Linked DNA regions of Neodiprion lecontei. The protein of the gene in region 1 purifies or fractionates together with the protein of each later gene. This does not show direct contact. Links are inferred from orthologs where the notes say so. Each region holds a gene or a part of one and is shown on either strand. Other genes may lie near its edges.

Evidence for each region.
Region 2: the proteins of serine/threonine-protein kinase STK11 (region 1) and COP9 signalosome complex subunit 3 purify together in Homo sapiens (affinity purification with mass spectrometry; 5 studies listed by BioGRID and IntAct, with this or other methods). This does not show direct contact. The link is inferred for Neodiprion lecontei from reciprocal best matches to the Homo sapiens genes STK11 and COPS3.

The regions. Positions count from the first base shown.
Region 1 is NC_060263.1:39,950,240-39,957,441, forward strand, and holds serine/threonine-protein kinase STK11, read right to left. Parts: upstream 5,465-7,202; 5' UTR 5,377-5,464; coding exon 5,033-5,376; intron 4,798-5,032; coding exon 4,677-4,797; intron 4,255-4,676; coding exon 4,069-4,254; intron 3,876-4,068; coding exon 3,739-3,875; intron 3,338-3,738; coding exon 2,994-3,337; intron 2,475-2,993; coding exon of another isoform or gene 2,426-2,474; intron 2,222-2,425; coding exon of another isoform or gene 2,139-2,221; exon of another isoform or gene 2,084-2,138; intron 1,510-2,083; coding exon 1,352-1,509; 3' UTR 573-1,351; downstream 1-572. UniProt on the Homo sapiens protein: Tumor suppressor serine/threonine-protein kinase that controls the activity of AMP-activated protein kinase (AMPK) family members, thereby playing a role in various processes such as cell metabolism, cell polarity, apoptosis and DNA damage response.
Region 2 is NC_060262.1:2,588,161-2,594,125, forward strand, and holds COP9 signalosome complex subunit 3, read right to left. Parts: upstream 4,131-5,965; 5' UTR 3,924-4,130; coding exon 3,848-3,923; intron 3,576-3,847; coding exon 3,315-3,575; intron 3,227-3,314; coding exon 2,502-3,226; intron 2,414-2,501; coding exon 2,117-2,413; 3' UTR 905-2,116; downstream 1-904. Other genes in the region: nicotinamide riboside kinase 1, read left to right, coding at 290-904. UniProt on the Homo sapiens protein: Component of the COP9 signalosome complex (CSN), a complex involved in various cellular and developmental processes.

The DNA.
Region 1 (7,202 bases):
CTTTAACGTTGTTTATATCGTCAAGTTTTACGTTGAACACTACGAAGTATTCACACTTGTAATTTTTTGTTACCAAACACCCTGCAATATATAACAGTACTTACGTAATTTGAATTTATTATTCTAAAGAACAGATTTACCAACGAACGGACGATAATCAGTTAAACGAAATGAAACAGTAAACATAAAATTTGTACACATGTTGTTATTATTATTATTATTATTATTCTTGTTATTATTATTATGTACTTTTTACAGAAATTAGCCTTCTACTTTTTTTCTTCTGTCTTTCGTACAAATCATTCGAATGAATAAATAATTCAATTACACTCTTTTATTATTATTTTATACTTCAGTATCAGTACAGAGATTTTTTTTAATTTTTTTTTTTTTTTTGTACACGAATTATTGTGAATTTTAAGAGAAAAAAAACTTACAACTTGATCGGTTTGGGATATGATTACAAATGGTTGAACCATTTTTGCAAACAAAAGTAAAGTGAGATTTATAATCGTTCAAAGAGCGGTCACGTTATTTAATCTGATTTATTATAATTATATCAGCACAGCAGATTCTGATTAAATTAAATATAAAACTTTTTTATTCTTACTGATTTATACGTTAAAATTTTTGGCAGTCATAGAACAGCTCGAGTTTTTTGATTAATTGTTTATTAATTTTTTTTTTTTTAATTTTGTTTATATCAGAGATTTGTCGTTCTTGCAGCGATTCCTGTCATAAAAGTAATATGTTTTATCGAATATGATCGAAGTAGATAATCTAATATAGGTATGCAGTTTTGCGCCTGAAACATATTACAGTGTGATTTAGAAGGGGATTCATGATGTATAAATATTAACTTTCGACAGCTAATTACAAGTCAGAGTTTCTAAGGAGGTACGATTTTTATCTTGAACGAAAAAAAAAAAAAAAATAGTCAACAAATACCTCAACGAAAAGTAGAATGCTTGAGTAGATTCGGAAAGAGTGCTGAGATGCGAATAGAGGATCGTTTAACACATCGTTAAATTTCAAGTTTTTTTTTTTTACCTCAAGTTTTGACCGAATAAAGTAAATAAAAATACAATAAATAACTTGTAAAAATCTTTGACGTAATTATTTGATAATTCATAATATTTCTGAATTATTTTAATCAATAATTACCATCACGTCAAACCGCGTTTCAAATTGGTCGCATGAAACGCATATTTTCTGTATCATTTCTCGCATTCTCCACTCTTTCCGCAGTCGGTAAATATAATTTCCAGTCCCATCTCCAAGATAGAGAAAATATTACATAACAACTGACACAGTCAGTAAGAATACTTGGTGACATATATATTAAAATGAATCACGATGGTTTACAAGATGGAAATTTCTTTACGCTGATACACGATATCGGTTTACGCCATCTTCTCTTTCCGTGGTGACCAATTTGTTTGATATGACTATTACACGCCTCTTTTTGATCTCCGATACTTCTGTCCAATTCCTGGAGTTTTCTTTCTTCTATAAAAAAAATTACAATTAACAACGAATGATCATGTTTCAAGTAAAATTCAGTAAAGTAATGGGACGTTTTACAATCGCAATATATAAACTCAATGTTAAAACATGGACAAAGTATATGAAACCTGAGGATATCATCACCAAACTAAATGTTAGCACAAAGAATTACAAGTAGGATATGATGACGGGTTGAAAAAATATGAACACTGATAAATAATTTATGATTGGGTAGGCGAAGAATAAAAAATGGAAATTATCACCGATGATTGAGAATGAAAATAGGTACAGGGTTGAGGATTAAAAAGTCAAAACAGACGGCATGACATACCAGGGTGCAAAAAAAAACTTACAAAACACATGTTCATCTATAAACAAATTCATAATAGTCAGTTTGAAAAGTTATTCGTTTGACAGTTTCGAAGTGTTAGTTGAGTAAAAGAGAGACGATACGAGCGATTTGTTAATAAAAAATACCCCACCTATTGTTAAAAAAAGATTCTCAAAAATACAAGGTGAATTTAGGATCGATACGACGGACACGGGGTGCTAAGAAGAGTGAATAGAATAATAGTACCGCTTATTGAAAAATCCAGAATCCAAAACTGAAACCAGCTACGCATATGTCAGTGTTATAGAATGACGCATGTCTTTGAGAAGAATAATACAATACAGTTAGGCGACAAACGCTTTCTCTCATCTCTTCGGCCTAAATCTGAAAAGCAAAACCTGTGTGTCAAGAGGTTTTGCAGAGTATGGATGTAACACAAGATTCCGGTTGAATTTAACTGATATTAATCGTCTATGATGCAGCAATTTTTATACTATCTCAGTCTGTACTAGTTGTTAGTATGTAGCTCAAATGCAGAATGCACACTCCGCGTGCTTATCATTGGTGCACGTAATGTCTGGGACTTACCAATTGTGCGGGGGCCACCAATCTGGGCTTACAAGCAATTTGTATGAATCTACCCAATTAAAACAATTCAATGTAGCACGACAGAAAAAAGATTAAATTAATTTTTTCTTAAAAAAGCTCAGCTAATATGATCTTTGCGAGTGAAACTGAGGAAAGCAAGAGAAAAATAAAGATTAAAGAAACGCTTTCATTAAAAATTAGTTGGTTGACGAGAAGCGTATGAATTATAATGCAAAATTGAAGAAAAAAGGAAACATATAATCTCTCGATATGTTTACAGCTACGTATATAAGTTTGTTGTTATTACATAGCGTTGATTGTATAAGTGACTTATTGCAGCAATAAATAGTAAATTATATGCATACAAGCCTATTTGTGTATTATATGACGCTCAAGGTTTTCATTATTAGCAAGTCTAAGTGGTGTATAATTGTGACGCGACAAGTCTCAAGTCTTACGCCATTTGTAATGCGAGATACTGACCTTTGGAGCGATAATCATATAATATTAATTGCAGGTAAAAAAGGAAAAAAAAAAAAAACCGCATATGATGATGTTTAATACTGACCATTGAGTTGATGTTCTGTGTAATAGGTAGGATTTGTTTCGACTCCATAATGGTGTTCTATAAGGTATGGAAGAACAGTCATAGTGTGCCATTCATCACCCCTTAGAGGTGGTACAGGGACTTCTTCCAGTGTCTTAGGCGGTCTCCACAATGTCCACGAATGTTGCCTGATCTGCTGCAGCGTAAATCTTCGGTCGACTTCCTTTTGTAGCATTCCCTCTAACAGTGATCGTAAGGAATTGTCTACAGCCTCTGGTATTTTATATTCACCTTTTCCAATATTCTCATATAACTTGTAAATATTGTCCCCTTCGAAGGGGTATTCGCCTGTTGTAATATTATATCTACAAAGTAGAACAGTTGAACATACTATTCAAATAAATATACATACACGTTACATTTATTTACACACACTCAACTCGTAATAATAAGTAAGTCGAGACATCGTTTGCCAAATATGACGTACAATACAAGTATTGTGTCGGTTTCATATTGCATATCGAAATTTACATGATGTCGAATACATGAGTAAATACAAATTTTTACAAAGTATTAGTTAAAACCACATAGAAATATTTTCTTCAAAATTTTGCAGATTTGCTTCTGTACAGTTTCAATTCAGACTCAAGCCAAGGTAGTTTTAAATAATAATGCGGAAAAATTTGCAGAGTGAAATTTGACTCAAGAGTGTGCAATAACGAGTTGCATTATTTTAGTAACAAAAGCGCTAACTGTAATTACTTACAAAGTGACTCCACTGCTCCAAATGTCTACTTTGAAGCCAGCAAATGTTTCACAGCCATTAGCAATTTCTGGAGGTTGAAATGCCGGAGAGCCTTGGCCCGCCGTGCATGTGTCATCCTTGGCAAACATGTCCAAGGCCTGTAAAAAAATTTCAAGTATACGTAATTAGTTTCAATAGCGTGTGAAATTACAGCATGAAGTATTATTTGAAAATAACCTAAATATAAAAAGTAAAATGATGTGAAAATGCTTTAGTACACTGTGAGGATTTGACTATCTAGTTCTAACGATTATGTAGCGATTAGAGGTGTAGCTAATCAAACGTACACACCTCAGCTACACCGAGGTCGCTAATTTTCAGAGTACCGTCTAGCGTCAAAAGTAAATTTCCAGGTTTAATATCTTTGTGAACGATTCCCTTGCCGTGAAGGTATTCAAGGCCGTCCAAGAGTTGGTTAAAATACCCGTGCGCTTGCCAGAGCGGAAATTTCTTGTGAGGTGTGCTTTCCAGCATATCCTGAAAATAATACTGATAAGTTGGAAAAGTTTTGGCCTTCTTACGCAATTTCTGTAACTTCTACCCGCAACTATAAGCGCGGAAAATAAAAAAATAAACAAAAAAAACACGATTTTCTTAAAGTCATCGATAAGTAAAAATGTTATTAATGCAGTTTTTATATTTCATTTCGACATAACGTGTGTGAATAAACGTCTTTCTTACAAACGATTCTAGGGTGTGCCAATTACTGTGAAAATGATCTAATGGAGTCATAATTTATACGTTACATTGATATAACAGTATTTAAACAGCAAATATACAAAGATTGTAAAAAGGAGGCAGAATGTCATCGGCTAGAAATAATTGAAGCATTGGCCTTTGGAATGGAAAATTAATTCTAGGATTAGACATTTTAATAATGAGAAACAGAAAGCGTATACCTGTAAACCTCCCACGCAAAACTCCATTACCAAATACATCTTTTCTTTTTCGTGATTATATAAAACGTCCACCAACCCGATAACATTTTTATGTTTCAATATCCTCAGCATTTGAATTTCCCTAAAACAGAGACGAAAACAATCGAGGTTAATTCTTGAATTAGATTAAAAACTCTCTACGCCGAATATGCAAGTTGTTCAAAATCATCATAAGCTTGAGAAACGACTGATTAAGAATTGATACAACCATGATTAGCAAGTAATTGTATTTAAACTAGAAGGAGAGAGAGTGAATGAAATTAATAAAATGCAGGGCAATAAGATGTTGAATTTTGGCAAGTGAAATGGTATCGCACCGTTGAACATTGAGTTCGCCGTTGGGTATCCTGCGGAGTTTTTTTTTCTTCAAAATCTTAACAGCTCTCCGACAGAGGGTTTCCGAGTCGAGCATCTCTTTAACTTTTCCGTAACTCCCCTCCCCCAAAAGGTCACCCATAACATATTTACCAATTAATTTACATGTTTTCTTTTTTTCCTCATATATTATTTGGTCCGAATCCACTCTGTGAAAGAACATGTTGATATCGTCCAAGTCATAATTACTATCGTCGTTCTCCCACCTCACTGGCTCTATGTCGCTGAATATTTCATTATTTATCTCCTCGACGTCAGGATCACCTACTGTGATCCTACTGTCCATTTTCACAACACCGAATATCACTTAAATTACATAAATCTTTTACAAGTTAACCTAAAACACCACCGGCGACATCATTGTTGTACCGAAATCTCACCTCATACCAAGAGATGGAACATCGCTGGACACGTAAATAAATTTCGCGCCACCTAGCAAAGAAAATCAGAAGTATAAAAGGTAACTAGATGGTAAGCGCATGTTCAACCTTATCGCTTAAGCACCTTGAAAATTAGCTACAAAAATCGTCGGTACAGCGTGCTCATTTGGTAGAATCATTGATCTCTTATGATTGGTGGATAAGATGCTAGCTATATAATATTGATAGGTACTATTCGTTTAAAAAAACCTTCAATGAGTAATGAAAAAAAGCCCTACTATTTAGTGAAGTATTTCCTTGCAAGGCTTTGCTGTTGAGGTTGTTAACTTGTTAATCGCAAGTCGAACCGCATTTATCAGACACCGCAGGTGATACCTGTGAACGATAATAAATAGAATTACCATATTATTTGAATAAGCAAATATTTTTATTTTCTATTTGCTGATAGATTGGAGTAATTTTCTCCTCAGCGATTTGCACGTTGTCTCAACACGATTTCCTGAAAAATGTTTGTGCCAGGAAAACATGTGATAGGGTCAAGAAAACGAAATGTAATAAATTATTTGATATATTCTTGTCTCGTTACACAGAAACGCAGCTGGCTTTTACAATCGGCTCCTCCGTGGCAGCCTTAATAATAGCTGATATATTATATGTATGTGTAATGATAGACAATACGTACTGCATTAAGATGACTATAAACCAAGTGCGAATGTCGCAGTACAATTAATGGTTGTAAATGAGATAGAATAGATTATTTACAATACCATTGTTAACCATTGGAAACGAGGTCCCCTCCCTATTTTGGAATGTTGTCTCTAGTTATGATACGTATCCTTAAACGATTATACTTATAATTTATAGAAATAATAAGTTAACTACATTATTTGGGTATTTATAATAATAATTTATAAATCATCACAACTATACCACGTCGTCTTTTTTCCCCATATAAGTGGACAGTACATATTTAATCTTCAATTATATATACCGTCGGATTTGTACTTAAAGTATAATAATATTATTTGGACAGAGTTATTTAAGCCGGTTCAATTTTACATCGTCCTCACATGCGAATAACGGGTATTTCGTTGCGACCAATTCTCGTTCTAAATATAAACTAAATAGATCGCAGATCACTATTTCGAGTAAATATCATTTTGCTTATGACGGTTAATACCGATGAAAATACTTCTGGAAAAGATTGAAAATGACTCGGATGATCGGGATGAGTTTAAGTAATGCGAAACATTTGTTCTCCATTACTTTATTCGATATAGGGAGAGAAAAATTTCTCACGAAACTCACTGAATAGCGTGTGTTAAGACGTTGCATGGAATGATTGAAGGTGTCGTGCGGCGATTGCCCGCTGAATAATAAATAGCTAACAGTTGTAAATATCTGTCTCTCTTTCTCTAGTGATCACACTTCCGCTATAGGCAATATATAGTATCTATATACTAATGACTATTTATTTAGAGTTTTAATAACACTACGTAGGCCTTTTTGATTTTGCTTAAGATACAGCTTAATTGCATGAGTCAAGTTTGGTTTTTTTTTCAACCGATGCAACGTTATAAAACTACGTTTCTGCTACAGTACAATATGCTAATTAGAAGATTTAAGTGATATATTATTACACTAAATTTATAATTATGTTATATAATATATATAATATGTTGTATATTATTTTATTATATAATTTCTATAATTTATTATTATAAATTTCACG
Region 2 (5,965 bases), on another chromosome or scaffold:
ACAAACATACATTACGTAATTGAGTTACATAACACGTGCATACGTATGCGCCCATGAACCAACTGCCCTGAGATAGCTGTATGCAACTTAAATTAGTATCATCGTATTCTTGGATTAGTATCGGAGTACCATTTGTTGAATAAGTGACCAAGTTTAGCGTCTTCGTTTACTTTATTATCAAACTGTGGTGGTGGAATAAATTGTTGGTAGCTTCATATTGGTATTCTGGTTTCAACAAGTGAGACGATAAGATTACTTCGCGAAATATAGAAAAATAAAAATAACTACGATGAGCGACTGGCTGATTGTTGGAATATCCGGAGTTACGTGCAGCGGGAAAACGACTCTGTCTAAAGAAATAAATGCCAAGTTAACCAACTCTGTAGTTATAAGTCAAGATGATTATTTCCTACCGACAGATAGCCCACGGCACACTTTTATACCTGAATTGAATCATATTAACATGGACATAATCAGCAGCTTGGATATGGAAAAAATGCACAATGACATATTGCAAGTAATTCAGGATTTTGAAACGGGAAATGGCGATGGGAACTGTAGAACTACTAGGAGAGTATTGATCGTTGAAGGATTTCTCATTTTTAGCTACAAACCAATATCAGATTTGACCAATTTAAAGTATTTTATTACCCTTGACAAGGATGAGTGCTGGAAGAGGCGAGAACTTCGCACGTACCTTCCACCAGACGTTCCGGGTTATTATGAAAAAATTGTATGGCCAGAATTCTTGAAACATAAGTCAGAAATAATAAATGACAGTAGTTTGAGCGAGGTTAAATTTATCGATGGATCAAGATCAAAAAAAGATATATTCGATGAGGTTTACAGTGCAATTAAGTGCCTGATGTGTAAAGAATGTAGCGAATGTACACAGAGCTTGTAGAGTTCCTCATGAAATTATAGGTGGATAAATGATGATTTGTATTATAATATAAATAAAAAGAAAACCTACAAGTTTTCCTTAGAGCGCAATTGAATAAATACATTATCGAATGTGCATTCAATAATATATGTCATTTTACAGTTTTCTTTAAGGACTTGTCCTTCTGACCGTGTTCCTCGTGCAGTGATTGTTAATCACCGATCCAAATATCCTTGCAACGACCTAAACTCCTGCAGCAAAGTAATCAGCAACAACTTTTTTGAGACTTTTCTCATCGAAAAGATGCAACTAACGGATGCTTAGATTACATAATTCTACAAGAAAATTTGTGAGTCAAAATTAATACTTTCCATTTTTATCTCGAATATTACAAGTCACAATCAACATTCGTTAACTTGGGCAATGACTGAATCAGTATTTTGTAACTTGTAATTCTTCCGTTTCCTGTTGCCGCTTTTGGAAAATAACATTGACTTCACAGTGAATACAGAATAGCGAATTTACTGCACTATGCTTATTAAATATTATTTCGAGTCAGTGAATTCACAAATTAACGTTGACTAGATAAATACCTGCTATAAATATTCAGAATATCTATTAAATATATTAGTATTGTGCCTTGGTACGCATTTATTGATAAAAAAATTCAAATTCCGAATAAATACCAGAAATGGTGAAATAGGTAGTTATCGATTGTTAACGAAAGCTGACGTATAATAGAATTCGTTGGCAACTTTAAATAAAGCTTATTTCAGAAAAGCCAATGCAATTTTAGTTTAGAACTTAGAATCTAGTTTTATTTGCAAAAACAGTTTTTAGTTGCAATAGAAACAAAGGTTAGAAATAACATTCCATACTTAGAATTCATCCGTAGATTACAAGACTTATTTTTACATTTAACACACCGTAGTTTCTAAAGACAAATAATTGGTAATTGCTGTGACAATTTTTAGTACACTATATATCAATTAGGCAGTTGTATTATCAGCAATGAGGTTTGTAAAAAGTGCGAATAATAGTAAACAAAAAAATTTGCTTTACAAATTTGTTTAATTATGGTTAACTGAAATGAGCTTTAACATTTTCTTTCCTTTTCTCGATGTGGCTTTTTGAAAATGATTTTTCCCTTCTTTTTTTCCATTTTTTGTGTTTTTTTTTTTTTTTTTTTTTTGTATTTGTTTTTTAATAAAGATAACGCACGATCATGGTATGTTACATGGAGTAAGTGCTATGTTTAGACTGTCCTTGGGTATTGGTTACATTGGTATGTACGGGACCTGTCAATGGCTCATCTTGATCTACATGACAGCACACTTTACGCACATATTGAGGTGCCAAAAGCACTTCTTCCTCCATCTCTAGAACCCGTTTATCGAGCTCCGTGCAAGCTTCCATTTCTTTTTCAAGCCTGGCAAGCATTTCGGGTGAGTTATACTTCTCGGGATCGTCGTGAAACACGACCATTCCATCTTTCTGATTGATCGTTGCAAATATCTCGCCGTCTTCAATCTGAAAAAGAGATTATGCAGCCGCTTAGTAAAGTTGTTTAGCCGCAAAGCAAAAATGACGTGAGTGGCCAATCGAGCATGCTTCTCACCATGTTTAGAATATATTGCTCAGCCTCAGTGGGCCCGGGAAGTTGTGCCCTGCTAGCAACGTCCGTAAGACTCAGGGTGAGGAAAGTTTTGGTGAGTCTCTGTATGTTCTTTTTGTACAAGTAGCGTAGGACTTGTTTCACCAATCCCCAGTTGTGATCTCTGACAAACAGCTCTTGGTGCTTGGTCATCACGGTGTTAACTTGTGCGCAGCTATTGGTCGAGTAGGCCGTCGCGATATCGTGATACCCCTGACTCAGTGGCTTGATAAACCTGTTAACGATCTGACTCGCATGCTTTGGTATGGTCACTATTTTACCATGAAGAATCAACGACACCAGCATGTACTTTTTGTACGCCTCCAACATTATGTGGCTCACCGACATCGCAGGGGTCGTTATGCAGACCTCGAAAAAGTACAAGGCTCGATTGTAGTTTTTCAATGCCGTGTATATCATTCCACCGTAATAATAGTATAGCAAAAAGTATTTTGCATCAAAATATCCACCCTCTTGACTTATACCGGTTATATCAGTATCCAAAAACTCTAGCGCAGGCTTGAAACACTTTGAGAGTAAACACAGCTGGCACAAATCTGCGTGTATAGATGTCAGCTGGCTGTCGAACAGCTGTATTTTTCGTATTGCTCTGCGCAAGAGGTCGACACCTCGCAGAGGCATTTGCAGGTCTATCAAGAGTTGGCTTAAAAGGTGGCATAATTCTGTGTCTGAAAAAATATACGCCATGTGTTAATCATCGATGACGATGTATCGTAGAAGCAGCTAAATAGTGACCAAGAATGCAAAAATTATCACATGTATCCGGGGCGAATCTGACTTGCTCCCCGTTGCATCCTACGATGAAGTCTTGGACCTGATTCAACAGCGGCTTGTAGGCATCTGGGTTGTTTGCTCCGTTGGCATTTGGCAGGGAAAGTTTTACGCAGAGGACGGCTAGGATTCCCAGTGAGTGTTGCTGTAGGTCAAGTGTTTCTAAGACATTGTCTAAATGTGGCCCGTTTCTTGCGAGCGTGGTCGTAGATTTATTGATAATGTCACAGAGCTCTCTGAAGTTGCCTGCGAACATGAAGAAAAGAATTTTTAAAACGCGAGGACAGAATAAAGAGCAAAATATGTAATTTTTATTTTCTTCAGTTTTGCTCGGTAGAAACTTCGAAATTTTTCAACCGGTGGGTCAAATTCTACCCGACCGGTGTTCAAAAGTTCAGATTTCAATTTTCCGATCACCTATCGCTGTTTCACAGGCAAAAAACGATCATGCGATTAGCACTATTGAGGTTATGTACCCGGTTCTCTCAATTCTTTGTTCTAATCAAATTGGCTCCTACCTTGCGTTGAGAGCGTACGGACATTATTTACAAATAGCTCGAGTGACGATGCCATTAGTGATGATACTTTCATCATCAATATCAAGTAACGTATTTATATTTACAACGTTTATTATATTTCTTTTCAAATTATCGGAGCCAGTGACGTTTTGAAACCTTCTACGAACACTCAGACCGCTCTGAAGCTCTCGCAGTTCTTACAGAATTCCGTCAAAGGGCTAACTTCATGATCCTTGCTCGTCGATCAACGGATCAGTCGGCTTCGGACGTATTCGGTCGGCAAATATTTTTTTCGCTTTTTTTTTTTTATCGTCTCTTCAGTTTCCTATGTTTACTCTATTTACTGACAGTGTAAATACCGCTGACACACGAAATGACTTTCATCGGTAACGTTACCGACATGTTTTTGTGCTCGAAATTTAGTTCCAAGAATCTGATCAGAGTGAACGTCGCTGCTGCAGCGACGCTACTTTCAGGCTACTCACAGAATTCTGGGATGCCGAAGAGTTCAAACGTGCTCGGCTCGTACCATGTATTTGGATTTGTTCAAATTTATACTCAATTTAATGGTTCTTCCTAATTAACTCGATGTGTGGGGCTGGCCTTGGTAAGTGATTGTCATGCAAACAGTTCTAAGTCACCGAGAAGTTTGTTTTCACCCGGTATGCCTGTAACTTGTTGTTTTTTTTTTCAATGGTGAACAAACAACGCTAGCGATTTGACTGTTACGTATACATCGCACCGAAGTCTATATTGGATTCTCCGTAACAGTCTCGTATGCTGTACATACGGCTTTTCGCGCTTCTCAAGTGGTAGAAGTGATCACTTTTATTGTGATCGTGGTCTTTTTTGAAAAATACACTTGCATCGACGTGACGATAAATCACCCTCGGTTATCTACAGGCAATCTATTTTTTACAGTATTATTATTCAGTTGTGGATGTTTCTCCAAAGATTGCCGCATTATTTCTTTTAAGCAAAGAAAAACGAGAATCTAATTTGTTTACTGGCTGTGTTGTTGAAATTTGAATTTAGCGCGTAAATTAGTGATTCAACATGGCTGACCTTGCCACTCTCTGCAGTTAAACAATCTCGAATCAAGTCAAGTCAGTGGCGCCTTCGGCAGACCAACAACACGCGAATCGATTACTAAAAACGACTGTGGCGTCGGTAAGAATGATTTTTAATAATGCAGTCTGTAAGCTTAGCGTAAATAGCTGAATTCTATAATTTGTTAGATGTATAGAAATTTGCTACAACGTGAACAGTTTTTCAGCACCTTTTATTCGCGCATTTAGGGGTTTTACTCTTCTTCTCCGTTATTGGTTTAACGAATTTGTATAAAAACATTGTATTTGGTTTACTCGACGTTGAGATTTTGAGTAAAAAAAAAAAAAACGTTAGTTACATCGAAAGTTTATTCGAATTTCTACACGTATCACACGTTTTACTTTATAGATCAAGCTTCTATATTACCGTTCACCAGGATCCTACAACTTAGGGTAAAACGTATTCGGATTGTTACATAAACGAGAGCTAAATTGTTTAATTTCAAACGATTATCAATTCCATGAACTAATCGAGTTGAAATAACATTTCAAACATGTCAGATTATAATCGATAAATAACAAACGAACGAGTCAACGTCACGTTCAAGTGTTGTATGGTGCATATTATGCATGTGTTGTAAGAAAAATTAACAGATTAAAATGAAAAAAAAAAACACTTGAAAATCTGCGATAATGACGCGCGACTTGGAGTTGCGGTCCTTCCAAGTTATTATACGACTATATAATGATATCGCGGTACTCGATACATTACACGAGAAAGTAAACATACGTCAATGGCGCATGTAAGTAATTCATTTACCTACCTTTAGGAATAATATCATACGAGACTGACTACGTCAAATGGCTCACGCATTAAATTTAAGTACTCACCGCGACATTACACTTTGCATACATCTTTCAGGTGTGAATGTCGTGATTTCGGTAATCAGAGTCAGTAAAGGAAATCGTCGAAGATTCTTATTGACCCATCAAATTATATTGCTGTACAAGCCGTGACAATGAAAATAATAGGGATGAAGTTAACAATAAGTTAGTTTAAAAGTATCAT